Oreochromis niloticus: one gene and its partners. The protein of the gene in region 2 interacts with the protein of the main gene of each other region in a pairwise test. Links are inferred from orthologs where the notes say so. Each region holds a gene or a part of one and is shown on either strand. Other genes may lie near its edges.

What was found. The genes of interacting proteins can lie anywhere in the genome.
Region 1: the proteins of trim59 (region 2) and zdhhc22 interact in binary tests that used the Homo sapiens proteins (3 or more experiments, as listed by UniProt). The link is inferred for Oreochromis niloticus from reciprocal best matches to the Homo sapiens genes TRIM59 and ZDHHC22.
Region 3: the proteins of trim59 (region 2) and vti1b interact in binary tests that used the Homo sapiens proteins (3 or more experiments, as listed by UniProt). The two-hybrid records come from large-scale screens. The link is inferred for Oreochromis niloticus from reciprocal best matches to the Homo sapiens genes TRIM59 and VTI1B.

What each region holds. Positions count from the first base shown.
Region 1 is NC_031983.2:10,874,059-10,881,569, reverse strand, and holds the start of zdhhc22 (palmitoyltransferase ZDHHC22), read right to left. Parts: upstream 3,029-7,511; 5' UTR 2,879-3,028; intron 971-2,878; 5' UTR 969-970; coding exon 413-968; intron 1-412. UniProt on the Homo sapiens protein: Palmitoyltransferase that could catalyze the addition of palmitate onto various protein substrates and be involved in a variety of cellular processes. Catalyzes the palmitoylation of KCNMA1, regulating localization of KCNMA1 to the plasma membrane.
Region 2 is NC_031979.2:23,923,431-23,931,319, forward strand, and holds the start of trim59 (tripartite motif-containing protein 59), read left to right. Parts: upstream 1-4,864; 5' UTR 4,865-5,204; intron 5,205-6,223; exon of another isoform or gene 6,224-6,460; intron 6,461-7,838; 5' UTR 7,839-7,889. Other genes in the region: kpna4 (importin subunit alpha-3), read left to right, coding at 1-70, 661-765, 853-924, 1,131-1,293, 1,386-1,480, 2,389-2,484. UniProt on the Homo sapiens protein: E3 ubiquitin ligase involved in different processes such as development and immune response. Serves as a negative regulator for innate immune signaling pathways by suppressing RLR-induced activation of IRF3/7 and NF-kappa-B via interaction with adapter ECSIT.
Region 3 is NC_031983.2:21,977,717-21,985,399, reverse strand, and holds the start of vti1b (vesicle transport through interaction with t-SNAREs homolog 1B), read left to right. Parts: upstream 1-4,655; 5' UTR 4,656-4,812; coding exon 4,813-4,909; intron 4,910-5,007; coding exon 5,008-5,066; intron 5,067-5,996; coding exon 5,997-6,191; intron 6,192-6,764; coding exon 6,765-6,938; intron 6,939-7,538; coding exon 7,539-7,600; intron 7,601-7,683. Other genes in the region: rdh12 (retinol dehydrogenase 12), read right to left, coding at 1,463-1,581, 2,163-2,239. UniProt on the Homo sapiens protein: V-SNARE that mediates vesicle transport pathways through interactions with t-SNAREs on the target membrane. These interactions are proposed to mediate aspects of the specificity of vesicle trafficking and to promote fusion of the lipid bilayers.

The DNA.
Region 1 (7,511 bases), on a different chromosome or scaffold from region 2:
ATTGTTAGAATGGTGGATGGTTGTGGTGAAGAAAAGAGTATTAAATGAGGTCAGTGTATATATAAGTAATACCTGTTAGCCTGAAGCTCAGGCAGACTGACCTAAATGCTTAGTTTAAGACCATTTTGATCTCAGTGAAAGCGAATATCATTAGTGTGACCACTTCAGCCACACAGCTTTGCAAAAGCCCTGCCGACGTGCTGTTTTAACCTTCTGTTTGCAAATGGCATCCAATCAGGAGAAAGTTAGCCGAACGTGAATGAACTGAGAGGCTGCACAAAGATCCATTTTGATATAAATACAGATTATTTTAAGCTGTGAATCTTACAAACTTTAGCAGACTCCATCAATAAAAATATTGAATTGGTAATTGGTGCCCCCTCTGAGATATCAGCTTGAATGGAAAACTCACCCATGAAGAAGTAACCAGTGGAGAACGGGAGAAGAGTCAAAAAGGTCAGGGGGTTCTCAAAAGAGATCGAGTACTCCACTGTTAGAAAGGCCACGCCAAGAACCAAAGAGTATAAACATGTGCAGGATGTGTAGATGCAGAACATGATGAAGTAGCGCATGTTTTTGTTGCCGATGCAGTTTCCAGTGAAGAAACAGTGGTGGTCCCTCTTAAGGATAACCTTCTTGCAAAGTTTGCAAAAGTGACGGCCGTTCAGGAGGTAGTGCGCGTCCACTTTATCCGAGCAGTGTGGTGAGCACACTGGAATCACAGTCTCGTTGGCACTCTCAGCTGGGTATTTAATAGTCATTATGTAATTCCCTAACGCATTGAACATCAAGAAAAGGAAAATAACTGTATGTAAAACTTTGGACCCCTCCAGTGATGTACCCTGACTTGGGAAAATTGTTGGTATGAAGAAGCCAAAGTGCAAAATGAAGGTGACTGCTGTAGCGGTGAAAAAGTACGCAGGTGCTACAGCGTTGAGAAGTCTCAGTTTTAACATCCGGGTGAACATATCTGTGTGGGAGCAAAGAACACAGTTAGCAGAAGAAGTGCAAGTAACTGTGAAAGTAACTGCACAGAAGTTTCTGGTCAGTTTGAAATGTTCTTATTTCTGAAAGCAAAACACGTTTTGTTTTTATCTAATATAACAAGAACAATGACCCAAAATGGCATGTTAAAAATCATGCTGATTTAAGAAGCAACACGTTTGACGTGTTCAGTTTGCCGGTAGTCACAAAGCCAACCTTCCTACTCAGTTTATTCATCTGATGGTGTCCCCAGTTCCCCCAGCAAACCACAGAGAAGTATACCATGCTCATCATCAGGATAGACACAAGTGGTGCAGCCGTCCTCTGAGGCCGATCACCATTTCTCGGGTCTTACTCACATTTGAAAGCAGATGATTCTTCCAAGACCACCTCCATCACTGATACATCCAACCACTGAAGAATCATCAGAGTATTTCTGTAGGTGGTTTTTTGTATTCTATAGGTGCATATACACAGTTGTAGTTCACTCATCATGGGCATCATACTCCCTTTACAAACCTCCCCACGCTGGCTCGTATGGGTGTAATTTAATGAAGATGCTGGCTCAGGATTAGTCTGACATCTGCTTTTTAAGGTAAAGGTCCTGATGTTTGCACAGTTTTGTAGAGGGAGGAGTACTTCCTGTTTTATAAAATCTGTTCTCGCTCTCTCTCTCTATTTTTATTTCTTTTTTTATTTACTGCATGGATTAACTTTATTCCTTAAAGCAAGTACAACATAATGATTTTCCAGTCCTTTTTTTAAATTTAGAGACTATAATCAGACTGAGACAGCCAATCCAGGCACTTATTTAGCCGCACTTAATGCTTCTCCAATCAGCACACTATTTTCAGTTGTGCTGACATAATTGGAAAATGGTTTTTCTAATGACTAATCAGGCTTTTAATATAACAAACTTGCATTAGGAAACACAAGGTGCCATCAGACACACACTTGCTGAAAATAGGTCTCTGTATACAAACACAGATATTCATGATGAATCACTCTCAACACATTTTTTACCGATTTTATGTTAGATGCAAACACAAACGTGCAGCCCAAATATTCCCCAAAACAGAAGAAACTATGGTACAGTTTTAGGAAATAGACAAAACAAATTCTCAGCTTATGAGGATTGCTAAGTACCTAAAGAATTGGCAGTGCTATTTGCAATTTAAGGGGCATCAATAGTCTTAATCCAGCAGTAAAGTCATTTACTTGTAGGGCGATTATTACATTAAGATACTTGAATTAAATAGTAGCAAATTGGAGGGAATGACCCTTCCAAGGACACAGTTTGGTCTGAGGAGAGATCAGGTAGTTCTTCCTTTCCGTTGTGTTCAAGTGCTTGCTCACAGGGGATAATTGTTTAGTTCTATGTCTACTGCTGAAGGCTCTTTACCTGACAATATGAAACCCTGAAATAAATAACACTGAATTAAAACCATTTAAAAAGAGCACAGTGCAGAAATGTGAATAGAAGAGAGAATGTAAGCCTGCTGCTTAGAGTTAAAAACTAATTTCTGAGCAAAGTGGGGGTGGGGGACTCCCAGGGGCCACTGAGAATAGCAGTAATGTCTTATCCCTCCTCTGTCATCGCATAACCTGCAGCTCTGAAGGATGTGCAAATCACAAGATAGCAAACGACGAAAAGGAAAGAGGGCGGTCTCGCAGACCAAATTTAAAAGTTGGTCTTTACGTCCCTCATTAGAGGGCATCGACACTGTGGATGCTACAGAAAACAGAAAGCATTTATAATATAACTGTAAGGTAGTCTCCTTCGTGTTCTGTTTTCTTTCAGAATTACATTATATCGTTTCCAGCATGATAATGATTGCGCCAGTAATGTTATTTTCCCATAATTTCATCTCCATGGCGCGACGCATCTGCCTACCTGCAGATGTCAGAGAGCGGAGGAGCTGTCCTTTCAGCACTACGGAGCCTCGGAGCTCAGGAGCTTCTTCAAACGCACACAAGAAGGTGTCTTTGAGAGGCACTGACGTCGTTTTTACATCACCACATTAACTCCTTTGTCTACCGCCGCCTGCTGGTCCGGATGCGTCCGTGTGCCTCTTTTTCTTCACTTTTCCCTGCTAACAAAACAAAAAAGAAATTTAAACAAAGCAAAACAAGTATTATTATTTTCACATAGTTATTTCATCATATTTACTTCCACATTCATCTATTCAATAAGTATATATTTATATAATATTACATTTTATAAGATTAATTATCCTTCACTTCCTTTCCATGTGAACAGCTATTATTATTATAGCATGTGAACAGTCTGCAGTGTTTAGGGTCAATGCAGGAAAGAAAGAATTCAGTAGGTGGCAATGTATCCTCAGTTATCTGACCTCCCATGCTGTTAGCGCAGAGGTACATAAGCTAATTTTAGCAGTTACAATAAAACAAGCTTTACTCACAGGATGTAACATGCTCAGTGCATTTTCTTTCTTTTGTTAACATGACTTACTCTCACAAACACTCCATAGGAGTCATAAAGGTATCAATTTTCAACATCTAACAATATAACAGGAAATTATAACTCCATTGGTAAGTCTGCATGTTTACCCATCACCCAGTGGACCACTATCAGTCAGGTATTGGCCTCCCCCTGTTAAAAACAAATATTCTTTTTATTATTTTTCTTTATTTAAAGTACAATTAACTTGAGCACTAATACATTTTGCATCATATCTGTTACCAGGTTAAGTTTTGAGATAGATCCTCAGTATCCTTAGAGTAATGTCTCTAAAGAACTTTCACTTCATTACTTTAGTCTAGAGACCTCTCCTTTAAGGTAACATAGGATTATTGTTAATATTAAATCCTGTTTCATTGATATTGAGATTTCTTTTTCAAAAGACACCTGTCTGTAAAAACATATACAACAATATAAACAGGAGATATTATATGTGTTCATAAAGTAATAAAAGCATGTGCAATAGGGAGCACAGGTAAATAAATATAACCTTTTTAAAATTTTCCTGTGAAATATTATATTGTAGCTTTAAAATCTTTTGTACCTCATTCCTTCATAGGAAGCAAAGTATTTACAAATAATTTTTCCAATCTCATTGTGAACAAGAGGCAAAGCCAACAGTGAAATCGCCTGTGACCACACACTGTAGGTAGTGCATTAAAATATAAGAAGGGACCAAAGGTAATTGGACATCTTTTAAAGTTCAGCCACACTGTTGATCTCTTCTAAATGCGAAGGAGGATGGAAATATGAAAACGTTTCAGGGTGGAGGAGGAAACATGCGTATAAACAGTATCAGATATGGGACTTTTTTTAACAAAAAGTTGGGAATTTCCTTTGTTACAGTAAATAAAAATGAAATAAGTAGAACAACATATACCTTCAATAATGTGAAATGCAAAGCAATTATCTTAGTAGGTTAAAAATAATCAGAAATTAAACTAAACATAATACGCAACATATAATATAATATAATATAATATAATATATATTAAAACATAAAAAATAAAATATCTTCAAAAATATCATCACAAAGAAATATAAAACAATTTAAACAGTCTACTAAATGGTGTGTGGTGGGGCAACGACCATCTGACAGATGAATAGTGACTGAGGAGTTGTACCCACAAAACAATGCTGTATGTAAAAGTTGTTTTGTATCTACACTTGTGATATATTCTTAAGTTTTTGTAGATTTTTTATAAAGAATACAAAATACAGAAATAATGATAAATGTATATTTAAAAAAAACAAAGTAGCTTTAATTTAATAATGCGTGCATTTGGTATTCAAAGTTAACATTAAAAATATATATAGTTAATTTAACCACCTAAATCGACCTAGCTAACTTTAAGGTGGATGTCTGGTCAAATATATCTTTATGTTACTTCGAATAAAACGAATAAAATTTTGTTGGCATCACCATTGCTTGATGGTCCCTTAACGCCTCCAAAGCAGGTGTTTAATTGTTAGACGGCCCCTGCGAAGGTGGGAGTTTCTCTTGTTTCTTGGCGTTAAAGAAAAATCAGCAGCATCTCTATCACCGCCAGACCTCAGCGATAAGGGAGTTTTGCAAGGTGAGTGAGGTAAATATTAAAGCCGTGCGTGCCTGTAGTGATACAAAATGCAAACCGGAAGGCTTTACTGCGCTATTAGTGGCGCAATCGTTTTCATCAAGTTACGGAGCTGAGGGAAGGTGGGTGTGCAGGCTGCTGTAGTGCTGCAGTAAGCGGGGGAACCGAGAGTCGATAAAAATGTCTGATTACGGAGAGCAATACCTTTTCCTTTATTTATAAAGATCTTAAAGTTCACGGTACAGTGTGGTGGTGGTGGTGGTGGTGGTGTGGCTGGTGAGGACGAGCCTGTCTCTGGCAACGTGTCAGACTACTACACCCAAACCAGGTGCATCATTTCTCCTCTCTGTCACACCTATTGTTCCCGATTGTTCCTCGTGGACTCAGCTGCGTGGCAAACCTTGTGTGAGCATCGTTATGTGTAACTTGGGGAGCCCGTTTTTAATAAAATAAGAAGCCTCTGAGGCTTCCATTCATGCTGCCACCCTCTGTCTGTGTAGCCTGATGTTGTTCAGTCTGGACTCTGTTGGAATCGCACAGGAAAAAATGATACCGGTCAACTTCTTGTGACTTGTTGATTCGATGCTTATCCGGCTGCATATGATGTGGGTTTTAACACAAGGGTTACCCTGTAAAATAAATGTGATTCTTGAGGTACACTGAGGTTTTACGGTAAGTAAAGCTAGCCTTTTCGGTGCCTTTTCTGACTGTTTTTTCTGTTTTCGGAAATTGGGCAGAGTACTAAACTGACATCTGGTAACATTTCCACCCGACTGTGCTGAAAGGACGTGGCCTTAAAAATGCCAGATTTGCTATGGACTTTTGACATTTTAGTGGAATACAATATGTCAAACCATAATGAGAGCCTGGGAGGAAAATAAATTTAGGATGGTGATATTCAGATTTTAGCCAAGATGTATAGCGTAATCTTACAGGACTCAATATATGCACATCTCATCACGTTTGATAACACCAGATAAATGATAGTAATGATGGCAATTAGTGTTGTTTATTCGTTGATTAGAGAGGAGTCCTATCCTGTTTCCAGGCTCCCAATTATGCGTGTTCTATAAATAGAGGTATTGCGCTTTCAGAGAGATCTCAGAAATCTCAAGGAGGGTCGGAATTAGTGTCACAGGTTGGAGTAAACAAAGCCTTGTGGGTGTGAAAAGGTCGTGTTTGAAAATCAAAGACTTCAGAATCACTGCAGATGCTTTAAATGAAGGGGAGAAACTATATGTTTTTACCTCAATGTTTTAGACAAACATATAGCGGGTGTTTGTGTGATCTAATTCATACCTAGATGACAAGAACATTGACTAAATTTGCAGCTGATCAACTGCTTCAGTATAAAACATGTATATATTTCATAGTTTCTTACCAAAGTGCTGTAAATTAGTTGCAGGGTTTGATCCTGTTCCTTTAAAATTTGATCCATACAAGTGCACAGTAAGTGTCACATAGACATTAATATTTCAAAAGGCTCTAAGCTGAGATTGAACAAGGGCTTTTAGTAGTGATATGGATATGGTGCACTTGTGTAGCACTGAGCAGGTGCAAAGGGATGGACAATATTGAGAGGTATGTTAGAGCAAGTCTTAAACCACATTAAGCCTCGTGTTCATTTTCTCCAAATACTTTGTGTTTGGTTGTTTCCTTGTGTTTGTTTCAGCACCACGAGCAGGAGGACAGCTCCAGCTGAGCAAGCAGATGAGATGAGATTCTTTGCAGTTTTGAGTTTAGACAGAAGTGAAAAGCATAACATAATCTGTGAAGATTAATACCATGCATGCAATAATTTGCACAGGTTTTAAATATTGCAAATGTTAAAGGTACCAAAATCAGGTGGAGTAAATAGAAGACAAATTATCTGATAACTCTTGGTGTGCTACACCAAAACCAAACACTGTGTTTTCAAAGACCTGGTTAATGTATTTCACATCTCATGGCCCCTACAGGATTAACTGTATCCTATCACATTATTGTGATGTTATTGTAGGGTCTTTACCTTATAATGTAAAGCACCTTGAGGCAGTTTTTAATTTTATGATTTGGTGCTTTATAAATAAAGTTGAATTGAATGGGCTATCTATTATTTAAGCAGTCAATATAAAGCCATGGTTAAAAAAGAAACAAACAACAACAGCAACAAAGAAGTAGATCCTTATGTATGTCAGGTCATAATAAAAAGAGATGACTGTGTTGACTAATGTGACTGTGTTACTAATACAGTAATGAATGGGAGTTACATGCGTATTTGAGTCAGGGTTCAGAGAGAAATAGCTCACATTGCTGAGAGATTTCACACATTTCTGTGTAGCACAGAACACGGGTCATCCAGTGGACCGTCCCTCTTTCCGTTCTGGTAGTAATGCTGATGATGGTGGTAGTCATGCAGGTTCTCACAGTGAGAAATGCAGTCATGAATGTCTTGTGTGCACCAGACATTCATGACTGCACCACATATT
Region 2 (7,889 bases):
GGTGCTCAATTGTGACGCCCTCAGCCACTTCCCTGCGCTCCTCACCCACCCGAAGGAGAAAATCAACAAGGTAACGTTCTCCGACTGTTTGTAAGAAACACACAAACTGATGAGCTCAAGCTGCTTTGTCAGTCATCTGGAAGTGATGAAAACAGAGACGTTGTGCAAGTGAGTGCTGCGTGAAAGGAAATAGATGGGGCAGATAGCTGAGAGCAGGAATTTAAAAGGTGCAGAATCACAAAGACGAAGAACCGAAGAGGACGCCAGCAACTTTATACCTTCAATTAGTAGCATAGATTAGGGGTTTGGGGGTGGGGATAAGGGGTAGTAGTGTGTACGTGTGTGTGATACATGGGTTGGTGGAGAAAGGGTGCTGAAGACCAAGCGTCTCTGCTGATATCGGAGTGCATCTGAGACCAGTCACCTAAAAAAAGAGGCCTCCTTTTTGTGACTGGTCGATGATTATAGCCTCAAAGTCACCCTCTCCCCACCCACTGCACTCTGTCTCAGCCGGGGGTCAAAACTCTGTTTCGACCCCTGGGTTCTGATCCAGCTCCCACTTGCTTTGTGATCAAACATAGACTGAATCTGTGACACAGCACATCATACTCATGAGAGAAAATCATCACTAACTCTTGTGTTTATGCTTTTGTCCTGTAGGAGGCAGTGTGGTTCCTGTCCAACATCACAGCAGGTAACCAGCAACAGGTGCAGGCCGTCATTGACGCCAAGCTGGTTCCCATGATCATTCACCTGCTCGATAAGGTTTGTATCCATCTTAAGTCGATCCTGTTTAATTTCAGAGAGCTTCTGGGTGATGGATGGGTTGCTTACATTGAATGTATGTTTTAGGGTGACTTTGGCACGCAGAAAGAAGCAGCCTGGGCCATCAGTAACCTGACAATAAGCGGGAGGAAAGATCAGGTAAGCCTCTCCCAAACACGTGAAAAATGTACAAGAAATGTGAAGTCGTTGGTGTTGAACATCTGTAAACATAGAACTGAAATGACGTCATAATATTTGCTGCTTTAAGAATAAGTTTAAGCTTACTCATTTTTATTGATGAGTACAATGCTCTTCCTTTTTTAACGCGGTGAGTGGTTGATAGTGCATCTCTGTGTCGTCTCCAGGTGGCACACCTGATTGAGAAGCAGGTGATTCCTCCATTCTGCAACCTGCTCACAGTGAAGGACGCTCAGGTTGTGCAGGTTGTTCTCGATGGCCTCAGCAATATCCTAAAAATGGCTGATGACGAGGCAGAAACTATTGCTAACCTCATTGAGGAATGCGGAGGTCAGTGTCACCTTTACCATCACATTTATCACAATTGCTGGTCTTAACTTGTGACACCAGGTGTTAATGTGTAATTATTTTTTGTTTCGCAGGTCTGGAAAAGGTGGAGCAACTGCAGAATCATGAAAATGAAGATATCTACAAATTGGCATACGAAATTATTGATCAGTTCTTCTCATCTGATGATGTAAGTTACTTAGGATATCTGCTTTTTTAATTATTATTATTTAGGCTTTCAAGTGATTTTAAAAAAAGTCTTCACATTGATCAAATGAACCAAAGTTTGGAAGATGAACAGGTTAGCTCTGAGTTGCCACATAGGAGGCTCCAGTTTGGCCATTTTCAGTTTTTTGCACCACAAATCATTTGCCGTTTCTCAATTCTCAAGTACGTGAGTACGTACTCACGTACTTGAGAATTGAGAAACGGCCTTTGTCTGAGTTTCGGACGAAATGCATTCTGGGATATTTAGCTGTACCAAGTCCACACAAGTCACCACCGATGCATGCTCGATAAAACGGGCGGAGCGAGAACACATCCGGGACTTTTTCGCGTTCTCGGTTTGATGCGTACTTTGAATTGGAACAGTACTTGGTCTCCGACTGATGACGTATCACGAGTACACGAGAACGCAAGTACGCACAAGTACGCATATTGAGAAACGGCAATAGTGTAAGTCTGAAAATGGATCCTGCCCAGAGTGGCTGTCCAAACTGCTAATTTGATCCGAGCCAGAGGTCCGAATCACTGTCAGCTTTAGGTCGTTACCATGGTGCTGTCGTACCACAAAGCAAGGTGGTTAATCCAAGGGGATGTGCCAAAGTGATTGTTTGTATTGACAGTTCTTCTATTTAGGATGTAGATAAACTTTATTATCCCTGAGGAGCAAGTTGGCAAGACAGCCCACCTCCAGAAACCCAGAATCACATACCAGAATTCACAAAGTTAACTTCAATAAGTAGAGCTACGTAGACCCACTTTCTTTAGAAAGCTGCTGATGGTCCCTGGCTCAGGAACAGTGGCTGGCTGTCGTCTTGACCTAACGCCTTGTCTTCCGCACAGTGTTAATGCTCCTTTTACTCGTCTGTCTTTCAGATCGATGAAGACACCAGCCTGGTCCCAGAGGCCATCCAGGGCGGAACTTACGGCTTCAACTCAGCCAACGTGCCAGCCGAGGGATTCCAGTTCTAGACGGCATCTGGGGTATTCTGGAGTTTTGTTCACGATGCAGCACTCTGTTCAACATATAAAAAATTAGGAGAGAAAGGGCGAGAGAGAGCGAGTGTGAGAAATTTGATCCATTGTGCTTGGCTCGTGGGATCCATGGCTGCATCTTATCTGAGAGAAAAATATGTGGATTTCATTTGGCATTCCAGGGGAACCAGCCCAAATGAAGTTTGAGATGGCGAGTGGGTGCGAGTGAGAATGAGTGGCTACATGTTGCAAAAAAAAGCAAAACATCTACATCGAATGCGTTGAGAGACATGCCGACATAACTTCTGTGTTATTGGAGCTGTCGTCCTCGGAAAACTACTTCAAATGACAAGAAAAACGAAAATAAGAAACTCTGTCTGCCCAGGGAGAACCAAGGACATTAAAAAATAATAAGAAAATCAAGTGATCTTGAAATATTACAATACAGCAAAATGCAGAAATGATTATAACTATGATTATGAACTGAGATGAACAACGAACCATCACAATTCTGCGGTCCTCCGACTAGAGAGGGCGCCAGCCTCAATGTGCCCCTCCCCCAATCGGCCACGCTATCAGACATGTGTGTGAATGGACCCATTGTGTACGAATGTCTGGACTCAGCGCTGAGGAGCCAGGTTCATCTCCTCCAACGAGACGCCCCCCCACGCGGGGCGCAGTCCTCTCCCCCTGGTGGGCGGGGCCAGGAGTCCGGCTGCGCGTGTTCGCATGTTGCGAGAGAGTGGACGGATGAGTCGTGTGTGCTTGGCTGCGTGCGTGAACTGGGAGTGTGCGAGACTGGGTGAGAACGCATGCAGAGATGAGGAAAAATGAAAAAACAACCAACAACAACAAAAAAAGATACAAAAACATCTGAAGAGAAAAAATTGCAACAATGAGGTTCGCAAAGGTTTCAGGAAGAAATTCTGCCTTTGAGAGGCTGATCTGCGAAATCCCTGAAAGAAGGAACTGTGGATATGAGAAAATCATCGTCATCACCAGGATTTTGTTTTTGATTTATTAAGTTAGTATTAATTGACACTGGACAATGTTATTGGCAGGTGTGGAGCAGCAGTGCATTGTATTAAGATGCATTTGGTGGCTTTTGGGCTTTTTCTTTTTGCCTCCAGTGTATTTTTTTTTTTCTTTCTTTTTTCCTTTTTTTATGACTTTGTTTTCCAGCTTTTAGTTTCATATCGCTTCTGTAAAGGTGATTGATGACCATCGTACTCCATCCTCACACCACATCCCTAACCTGCACACCACATATGGGCTTGATGCTGTGAAATTGTTGACACCTTCACTTTATAATCAACCAAATGACCTGTTCCTCCTTGTAACTCCTTTATTTTTTCTCCCACCCCCCTTTTTCCCTTCAATTTACAGCAAAATCACTGCTTTGCAGTACTGTTGCCATAGCTTTGATTGTCACCAAGGGAGAAGAGAACAATGGCCATTTCACGTAGGATTGTGAATCATAACCTTTGCATGTACTAAACTATAGCACAGTTATTTTTTAGGGTATTTTAGTTTCCTTAGGCTGTGGATACAGTGTAATTTTCATTTTAAGTAAAACTGTGCTTAAATGTTACATGTCTCCCCTTCCCCTTTTCCCTCACTAGTGTCTGATTTGCTAAATAATCTATATGGTTTTTGCACATGTACTGCAAAGTGAGGCCTGACGTCTTTCTGAAGGTGTGCTGGTGGGTTTTTATAGGTTTTGACCTGCCAGCAAAATCTCAATATGCATCACTCACTCAACCACAATCTGTTGTCTTTCGAGAGTAATCCAAGGATGCTTTTTAGTGAGAAAATGAGTTTATTTCAGGAGGTGGTTTAACCTCCCCCGCTTTTTTTTTCTCAAGGTCAGAGGGTGTCCCACACATCAGACTGGAGTATGTGGGGTTTCCTGAATAATATATAAACCCATGAACAAGTTTGCTGTAACTTTAGTACCTGAGTCCTTTAGCCCCATTACTCCCCTTTTGTCTTTCTGCCAGCTAGATGTACAAGCTTACCCCTTTCATTTTTTTGTGTTAACTTCAAACACTGTAGTAATGATTACACATTGTGCTCATAAATAAGCTTTCTGTTTGAACATAGGGGTATTCTTTTGCAGCATTCCTTGTTAGCAAACGTGGTTTCAAATTTAAAATTACGACCTGGAAAGAAAAAATAAATAAATGAATGAGGTGGTTCCCCCCCCCCCCCCCCAAGCAAAGTCATTTTTCGGGGAGATAGGATACAGGATAGGTTGTCTTCGAGAAAATAAATAGTGAAACCCAAATCGAGAGACTGTTTGTGTGTGTGATCTGTTGTGTGTCCCTGATAATGTCTTCGCTTCTCCTAACGGTTACAATTTTTCAAATTGGCGGAAAATCGAGTCCTGATTGGCCAGAGAGGCAGCTTCTGCTCGTGCGTGATACGGAAATAGCGGCGCCTCTGGGTGCTATCGGAAAAATGGATGACCATGAAAGGGGGTTTCAAAAAATGCATAATTGCGAAAAGAAATAGCTACCGCTTATAATTATTATTATTATTTTTTTAACTCGCACTCTTTACCATACGAGCATGCGCTCTAGAAGTCTAGCACCTTTTCCCGTTTTCTTTCTTTCATCGCTAACAGGATTTGCGGAGTGCACGTGAACACAGCACGCGTATGAGCTGACAGGAAGTGAAAGCTCTGTTGTTGGACAGACGCTTTCCCCCAGCTGACGGTGAGTTTGGGCTTGTTTTTGTTTCGTTTCTTTTAAACAGATTTCTACACGAAAAGTGGTGCTCAAGTTGTTAAAGTTGGTGTTTGTTTTTCTTTTTTTACGCCAAATCTAGAATCGGCATATGATGAAAATTAGTTGCTATTAAAGTACTGACCGCAACAGCTGTGTGGCTAGCACAGTTAAAAACATTAAAGAGCATATTTTAATAATGTACACTGTTTTTAACGTGTTACTACTTTTTCCACACACATTAAGAATGTAATATATGACACATGAGTGAAAACTGAACTGTAGGAGTCCCTGCCGCTACTTTACACCTCGGTGTAGATGGGTTTTATAGTAACGCTTTTGGATGTACACTTCCATACGTGGAGGAGACCACATTTGGCTTGATGTCGATTCTCCGCGGGCAGCTGGACATCGGTCACCTGTTTGAATCTGGGCGCCAAATTGGCCTCAGACTCCGTTTATGGATCAGGTTTTGTGAGGGACAGATGAACAGCGTGTCCTCACACAACTGTGTGTGTGTGTGTGTGTGTGTGTTGGACTGGGTGGGTGCTGGCAGAGGGCCTCCTATTGTCGCTGCGGTCCTGGCTGTAACAAGAGGAGAGAGCGCACAAACACTATAATATAACCGATCCGGTAATAAGAGCTGAGCCTGTTTTGGCTGTTCTCTTGTTTTTCAGTGAATGATCAGCTCTTTCTCACATTGGTTAGATTTAAACGTGTTTATATGATAAGTAGTAATTACACACCCAGAGCCAGTTTTATCAGGTAATCTGAGGCAATCTAACACACAATGTTCAACTTTTCTTTTCTTTTAATGTAAATAAATTATTTAGCACTAAGACTGTAGTTAGGACTGTTTTACTAACCTGTAACACTCTATAGTGACACTGCAAGTATCCCTTCTCAGTGATGTGAAAATACATTCTCTGAGATCCTCAGGTAAAGGTTTTGGTTGGTTGCCTTTAGACCCACCAATAGAGGAACTGTCCCTAACTCGAGTGTTTTCATAGGTATTCTTGTGGGTGCTAAGAGAAGATCTATGGGACTGTATGAGAGCATCAGGAGTGGCATAGAAGTATGTGAGGTGTGTGGTAGGAGTTGCAGATGGCTTTAAAGTGGAGGCGGGATTGTGTCCAGGATCCGCTCTGAGCCCCTTCTTGTTTACAGTGGTGATGGTCAGGCTGACAGATCTTTGTGGACTGACTTTTGCAGACAACATTGTGATCTATAGTGGGAGCATGGAGCAGGTAAGACATCCTCGGCGGAGGTGTTCTCTGGAAAGAAGAATGCAAGACAGAACATGCGTATGAATGAGAGCCAGACAGGTGTAACCGTGAAGGTGGATGAGTTTGCATACATGTAGTCAACCATCTAAAGTAACGGACAGTGTACAAAAGAGGTGGAGATGAGTGTGTGGGTGATTTTGTGATATCATAGCAACGAGAATGAAAGGAAAGATTTATGAGATTGTAGTAAGACCTGCTGTGATGGTTTGGAGACAGTGGCAGTGATTAAAAAGACAGCAGTTGGAGGTGGCAGAGCTGAATATCCTCAGATTTTCATTAGGAGGCACAGGATTAGAGATGAGCATATTTGTCACACTTGCATGTTTAAGATCATCAAACACATTTTAATATTAGACAAATATAATAAAGTTAAACACAAAATGCAGTTTTAAAATAATGATTTCATTGATTAAGGGAGGAAAAGTTATCCAAACCTGCCTGGTCCTGTGTGAAAACCTAATTGCCTCTCTTGTTAAATCATGGATTACTGTGATTAACCACATAGTTTGGAAAGCTATATTTAGTTTCACTAAACACACTGAGACTTGATTACTGGCAGACTTGTTGAATCAAGAAATCCCTTAAATAGAACCTGTGTGACAAAGTGAAGCAGACTAAAAGATCTCAAAAAGCAACACATGCCAAGATCTAAAGAAACACCTGGAATACAAAGTCATTGACATATATCAGTCTAGAGTCAAAGGTTACAAAGCCATTTCTAGGACTTTGGGACTCCAGCAATCCACAACGAGAGCCATTATCCACAAACCTGGAACAGCAGTGAAGCTTCCCAGGAGTGACTAGCCTACCAAAATTACTCCAAGACCACATCAACGACTCATCCAAGAGTTCACAAGAGAACCCAGAGCACAAAAATCCCCAGAACAACATTAACAACATCTGTTTGTGACCTCAAGCTGAAGTGCACTTGGGTTCTGCAGCAGGACAATGATCCAAAACACACCAGCAATTTCACCTCTGAATGGCTAAAGAAAGTCAAAATAAGGACTTTGAAGTGTCCCAGTCAAAGTCCTGACCTGAATGCGATTTTCAAACGGTTCATTCTCGAAAACCCTCCAATGTTGCTGAATTACAACAATTCTGCAAAGATAAGCGGGCAGAAATTCCTCCACACCTGATATTATCACAAACGTTTGTTTGCAGTTCTCGCTGGTAAAGGAGGCCCAACCAGTTATTAGGTTTTTCACACCGGGCCTTGTAGGTTAATAACTCGATCCTCACAATAGCTTTCAGCTTAAGTCTAAATTAAGCCCCATATTCACTAACACTTCATTTATTTCTCTAAACATGTGCAACAACTGGATTTTTGTCCTGCCAGATTTTCCTCTCCCCAAACCCTCACCTCCCCACCTGAGCGCAAGTCTCTGTC
Region 3 (7,683 bases), on a different chromosome or scaffold from region 2:
TTGAGACTGTTGAAAGATTTAAACTTGTTACAATGTCATCCACTAAAAAGCATTAAAGAGTAACTTAATGCTGTAAGGTATAAAGTGTTGGGTCTGTGCTTCCACAAGCCCTGCTAGTTCTAGAGACTTATTCATCATGAAGAAAACAAGACAGTCAACGATCGATCGATTACACAGACGAGGGAGGCCTCGTCTGTGTCCACCACAAAAATGACCCCGACGATGGCCTCCTCTCGCTGCCTTTTATTGAGAAACAGTTCACACAAAACACATCCCAGCAAAGCAACGCCCACATGGTTCTAAGACAAGGCATTGTATGTATATGTGTGAACTTCTGTATGTAAATAAGAATGTGTGTGCGTGTGTGTGTGTGTGTGTGTGTGTGTGTCCTCCTCCTGACCAAAGAGGGTCATAAAAGCAGGAGCAACATCCTTGGTCATAAAGAGGGTAGTCTCCCCCACACCCAATGTATTGTTTACCATAGATAACAAAGTGAAACCATACAAAGGGCAAGAAGTTTTACCAAACATCAAAAAGACCTTCACAAGGATGTTGCCTGTAATAAAAGACTACAGCCCCCCACTCAGAACCTCGAGAATCTGGGGGAAGGACAGAAGAATCCTTTCATCACAGAGTTAAAACAATGTAGAGATGGTAAGCATAAAAATGACAACATTTAACAATCCACTCTAACATAAAGTGCCATGGAAAAAGTATTTTCCCCTTCCTGATTCCGTAGATTTTTTTGCATATTTGTCACGCTTAAATATCATCAAAAAAGCTTTTAAATTATTATATAATTTATTAAGGGGGGAAAAAAGCAATTTAAACTGACCTGACCCAGTGTGAAAAAAAATGATTGTTCAGTTCAGAACTAAAGAAGCCTCTTCACAAACTTTAAAGAAATGCAGTTGCCTTCTATCTCAAATTATTAAGATTTTAATGGCACTGTGAGTCATCATCAGCGACAAACCTAGTCCTAATCCTGTGCTTTCAGAATATGTAAATGTTTTTTATGTATTTCTTTAACATTTTGTAAAGCTTATTCCCCTGAGTATTTGGAATGAGGTGAGAAAAAAACGAATCATTCTAATCGACATGCATCAATCCCTTTCACTCGCACCTAATACATGAAGTTAGGGTTGAAGCTACGGTTGGAGGTCATGACCCACTCATAGGATTGAATTGTTTTTTTCTTAACGAAACCAAAATAAAACTTTATACCTTTTCCAAACCCAGACTGATGGCATATTGACCATATTATAATCATACAACAAGTCAAGTATTTATGTGACTACATTTAAAGCGAGGATTTCCTTGAGACCACAACAGCTAATTGTGTCACACCATGGTCCATTTTATTATGTATATTTTAAATGGGACAAGGACGCTGATTTCAGTCTTATTGCTTTAAGAGACTGCTGATTTCTCTCAGTAGCAGGTTATGGATTTAAAGAGGCACCTCGCATTGCCAGATCCAGGGCAGTCTCCTTCCCAATTCCTGTGTTGGCTCCAGTGATGAGGACCGTCTTCCCATCAAGACGAGTTGTGGACTTGCACACTCCTCCTGCTGCATATTTTCTGCACACAAACAAGACTGATTTATACTACACAAATTCTGCATCATCAAATGCAGCAGACAGCTCCATTTAAATGACTAGGAGCTCCTTCTGCAGTCTCTACATGCTATGCCCCCGTTAAAGCTGGCATTGTGGTGAAACCGGGTTAATTATTCACACAAAAACTTGGATAGTGAAGTGTGCAAGTGGTGCGAAACACACGCCAGTGAGCAGTGCCGCCACATAACCAATAGCTCTCTTGGAGTGTTGCATGCATATATAACTCCTCCCACGCTCCGGCTGCTGATAGGCCCGAGCAGCTCAGACGGAAGACACCCGGTTCATCTGTGCAAGAAAAAAAAACACCCTCCCACAGCTCAATTTTTCTATTTCATTGATCAGCAGCCTCATGTGAAATCACCATTAACGTAAAGCATTCACAAATAACGATCATGTGGCTTCATTAATCAAACTGATCCTCATCGTAATAACTACAACACACCACCTAAATGTCTTGTTAACCAAGTAATAACCTGCCCTGACATCCAGTGTTAAACTCTGCGTTTAAATTCTAATGACTGAGCGCGTGAAGTGGGCGCTTACCTTATTTGTGGTGCAAATAAAATCACCAGCAGCGTCACCACTCCGAGGCCCGCGATAATTAATAAAAGGAACATCATGCTATGGATCTGCGCTCCTCTGCCTCTTCCAGCAGGATGCTACCGAAGTGTAGGCGGAACAGCTGATGTCAAAGCAGGAATGGGGGTGCGAGCTGCAAACGGATGGGGTGAAGGTTGAACCATGCACAGGATCATGGGATTGTAGTTCGATGCGTGACAAGACGGCTACTGGAGACGTTACGTAACAGGGTACACCGAGTTTGCAGCTGGGCGCAGTGGTTTTAAAGTGAAATGTCATAAAAAAGAAATTAACCAAATTTAGTTAAGAAATTATTAACAACAAAAAGACAAAGACAGAGTCACTTGTTTCAAATGTTTCAAATTTTTTGGTAAATGTAATTCATCTGCCCCGTCTTAAGCACACACAGAAAGTCAGTTGAATTATATTTTAGCCATTTAACAGCAGTAAAAATCCCCTATAGGTCATTTTTTAAGCTGGAAGCTTAATGAAATTTGCTAAAATACAGAAAAATTGAGGCTGCTCTGGGTCAAATTTTACCCACATCTATTCAAATCGATTTTAGATTCACCACTCTGGGTCAGCTCAAGGAAAATTGCGGTTTTATGCAACTGTAGATGGCATCTTTGTGTAATTACCTCTTTGTGGTGCTGGACTTTAAAGGGGACCTTCAAATAAAATGCAAAACAATGATGCATTGTAATAACACAACACAGTAACTTAAAGTGGAGTTTTTTAAAAGTGGAAGAAAGGTATGAGCAAAAAAAATGAATAACTTAATAAATAAATAAAAGAATGAGTGAATGTTTATTGCACATTATCATTGTTATTATTATTGTTGTTGTTGTTGTTATTGCTGCCCCCCCCCAGGAAAAAAAAAAAAAAAGTCCAGCGAGGTAGCAAATTTGGTCAGCTGGTAGCATTGCTTAGGGCTATTGCCCTGTTGTAAAAGCTGTTCTTGAGTCCGTTTTGTCCATGACTTCAGCAGCCTGAAGAGGATGTCCAGTGATTTTTTGGGAGACATTAATGACCCTCTGAAGTGCCTTTTTGTGTGCCATGGTGCAGTTGGAGAACCATACAGAGATACAGTATGTCAGCACACTTTCAATGGAGCAACAGTAGAAGACAATCAGCAGTTCCCTCTTCAGGTCCAATTTTCTGAGGATTCTTAGAAAATGGAGACACTGTTGGGCCTTCTTTACAACCGCCGAAGTGTTTGAGCTCCATTGGGAGTCTGTGTCTATGTGCACACCCAGGAACTTTAAACTTTGTGTTTTAAAGGTATCCTGGCCTCCTCCTAAAGACCTGGATGTCAGGTTAACTAGTGATTCTAAACTGGCTATGTGAGATAGCACTAGAAGTGTTTAGTGTTATTCTTACCTAACTGAGATTAAAACGCAAATCAACACAGGGGTTGGTGGGGTTATAAGACTGTAAAGGCACCTAGGTTGCCATTTCAGCAAATGTGGGAAACACTTGTCCCACTCATGCAAAGTCTTCTACCACCGTGCCTAACACAGACTTGTTAGTGTGTGCCTAACACTTACAGAATAAAACAAGCAAGTTTTATGCTCTAAGTGTTTGTTAATATTCAATTAATATTGATAAATATAAAGGAAATCTTATTTTTCGGTCTGCTCCTCCCTTTAAGGGTCACCAGAGTGGATCATCTGCCACCATCTCACCCTATCCCCTGTTCCTCTTCTGTCACACCTGCCCTCTGCATGAACCTGTTCTTTGGTCTTTCTTGTTTCCTCCTGCCTCACAGACCTCGCAGGACTGTGTCCAAACCATACACCATAGCAGGTGTCTCTACCATCTTGTAAACCTTTATGAGGATGTTTTTATGACATAGTAGTGAGGGCAGTGTTAAACAGTTGTATTTGTTATACAAGAATATATATAATAAGTCCCAACAGGTCCTTAATGTGCCATTTTAACTTTCAATAAGATACATTGTAATTATTTTGACAGTGATGTTTTGATGTCTTAGGTAAAAACAACACAAAACAAAACAAAAAACATGAAATAATACTCTCCCCCTGCTCTCTGAAACATTAATACATGATTAATCACCCATTTAGACAGGCTATTTATACATTCAAAATAGATCTGTACTTTAAAATTCGTTATAGACACTTACTATGTGGATATTCCTCCATCTTCAACGAGGGGAACTCTGAATCCATGTAGTTTCAATAACCGAATAAACAAACATTTCCCAAGTAGCCCGGTTTAAAAACTACATTTCCCAGAAAGCCCCATTAACGTTGTCTCTGTAGCGCCTGAATGAAATAATTGTTAAATAATTATCCAGGTGATTTTAAAACACGCTTTCCACAACATTTCACTATTTTGTTTTAAATTCCTACACAATTGTGTTTGTAAAATATTTTTTCAATTTCATATCTAGTAAAAATAATTACATTTTAGTACGTTTGATTTTTGTTCCGGAGTTACGACGGTCGGTCGAAAACCATCCGGAAGAATCCCGAGGATCTGATTATAGTCCTAGCAAAACTACATACTTAAACTTGTGATCATAAACAGTGTTGTATTTTACAATAAAAGACAAAAATAATATCACAAGAAAGGAATTTAAACGACACGCAAAATGTCGTCGGAGGAATTCGAGAAGTTGCACGAAATGTACCGATCGTTGTACGAGGAGCTGAAGCTGATGCCAGACAAGGCTCAGAAATCTCACGGAGGTAAATACTTGCTCATAAAGCCGAGATTAGCAAAATAACTACGCCTTGGAATATAAGTTATGTGCTTTTAAGTAACACTTGTACTGTCACTCCTGCAGAGGAGAGGAAGAGGCTGGTGAGGACCTTTGATGAGAGACATGGGGAGGCTGAAGAAGTGGTGAGCTGTTTATCTTTTTCCCATTACAGCTAGCTAAAGTTCACTTGACTACTAGCTATGTCTTTTGCATGTAAATACACTTTTTTTCTTAAATTGAGGTTGAAATTAACTTTTTAAGAAATTTACCACCAGAGAAATAGTGAATTATCAAAATAATACATGCATTTGTTGTGCAAATAACACTTGTTCAATACAAAATGGAAACCTAGTGTACATTTTACCCCAAAAAAGGCATTTTTCTCTTGCCCAGTCTTTTTGGTAACCACAATGCATTTCAAGTAAAACAGTGAAGTTTAAAGAGAAAAAAAAACAACTTTTTTTTTTTTTCATTTTGTTGACACAAATCTTTTATAACTGTTATTCCATTGTTTAACATCAACATATTTTAAATAGTTATTTAAGAATTATGCACTCCAAATTGTGTCCTACAACATATGTGCAAACCTGTTACCAACACCTGTTTAACCTGGAAAAGAACGAGACAGTGAGTGACATGACAAAGATGCAGTGACATGATTGAGTCTTGTGCTAGCACCAGGGTTGGATATTTGCTTATACATTTTTGGGGGGGTTTTCTCCAAGCTTTTTTGACTAGATTGAATGTGTCACTCTCACCAAAGCGACCTTATTACCTATATTATCAAAATCTGAGGGATGTTTCTAATATGTTAGCCATCAAGTTTATAAGAATAAAACCAAAATAAAAGAAGCTCTCAATAAATTTAGTTAACAGCTCTCTGTAGTATGGTAAGTATGCCCTATTTTAATAGATTTTTAACTGTACATTAATTCAAACGGCACTGAAATGTTCTGATTTACGGAGGTTAAGCCTAAACTAGTGAATACATTAATAATATATCCTTGTTTCTATGGAGTAAGATCCTTTTTTGTCTTTTTCTCAAACAATAACATTTTCTTGTCTTTCTCCAGTTACAAGGAATGGAAGAGGAGCTGCGCGTTGCCCCTCTGTCCTATCGAAATTCAATGAGCACAAAACTGCGTATGTACCGGCGAGACCTCGGCAAGCTTCAGAGGGACATGAAAAACTCAGCACCTGGCTTTGGCTCCTCGTACAACACAGTGCAAGGAAATCATGGCATCTACTCTTCACAAAATCAGCACAGTGTGAGTGAGGGGCTTTGGGATGCTTGGGTTTGCTGTTGCAGATGTGTGACAGGCCCTGTCCCTAGTCTGTTTGGATGCACAAAACATTATTTTATGATGTTGCTGTTATGTCAGGCTGCATGTGTAGGGTAAGACTTTTTCTGGGTGTGTATTTTTTTTCTTCCTCTTTTTGCTGAGGAATATCAGTGTGCTGTAACATAAGAAAAAAATACAAATAGGAGACGCACAAATCAAGAAAACATCTTCATCAGTTTGACACAAAATCCTCTCAACTTATAAGGGCTTATTTTTGAGCAGCACTTACAGATCCAGACTGTATTATTTGACAGAGGATAACAACATTCATACTGCAGTTAGAAAATAATGACAAATTAAAAGCAAGAACTGTTTAAATTAAATAAAATGTAAGAGAAAAATGTCAACCCTGGTTCCTAGTGATCCTTGTGGATCTTATTAAAGCCATGCATTGGAATTGTAGAAGTTGTCATGACAGCAAAATGTCTATGTAAGTGTATTTCCAGAATAAATCTGCTTAAACTTGGTTTCATTTGTCGCTTTTCCCCATCTTTGTAGACGCACCTGCAGTCCCAGAGAGCGTTGCTTCTTCAGGGTACGGATGCTCTAAATAACGCCAGCCAGAGTATTGAACGCAGCCAGCGCATCGCTGCTGAGACAGAGCAAATTGGCACAGATATCATCGAGGAGTTGGGAGAACAGAGGGAACAGCTGGATCGAACCAGAAACAGAGTGAGCTGAGAATCATTATTACGCTTGTATTCTTGTACTGTGCTGTGCAAAAGTCTTTAGCCACCTGTGATGTCTATATGTCACTGACCTATGAATCGTTTAAGCTTAAAAAGGCACCTAAATCAAATGATGAACCAGTATTGATGTGTCTACACGTGACAGACAACTTATCACAAAAACACATTATTAGTTTCAAATTTTTTAGTCAAATATATGAAAAATGCCAAATATAACACAGTTCAACAGGCATAAAATACTATTTTTTGGACTAAAAATGTGATTTCCAAAAAGCTACTAGCTGTCAGCCTGACATATCTCTCTATCCTGTGCAGTCCTTAAAAATTTTAACCTAACTAAAACTTTAAATATTAACTTTCAAGCTCATTAGCATTTTAAATAAAAACTCTGTTTTTACCTTATGTGCTGTATTTTCATGCATGTTTGCACATTTCAATAAATCGTTGCATATATTTCCTATTTTCCTACCAAACTATAAAGAAATGAATAGTTGCTCAAGACTTTGGCACAGTACTGTAGGATGACGATATGATCTGAGATTAGTAGGTTTGTTGAAACTCTTCTGTCTTGTTGTTTTTGTAGCTTGCGAATACTGGAGAGAATCTGAGTCGTAGTAGAAAAATTCTTCGTGCAATGTCGAGGCGGTAAGTGCACCCTACAAGACGTCTTACACCACAGTAGTTCCTTCGTTTTTTTAATGCAAATTAAATATATTTTGTGTGAGTCT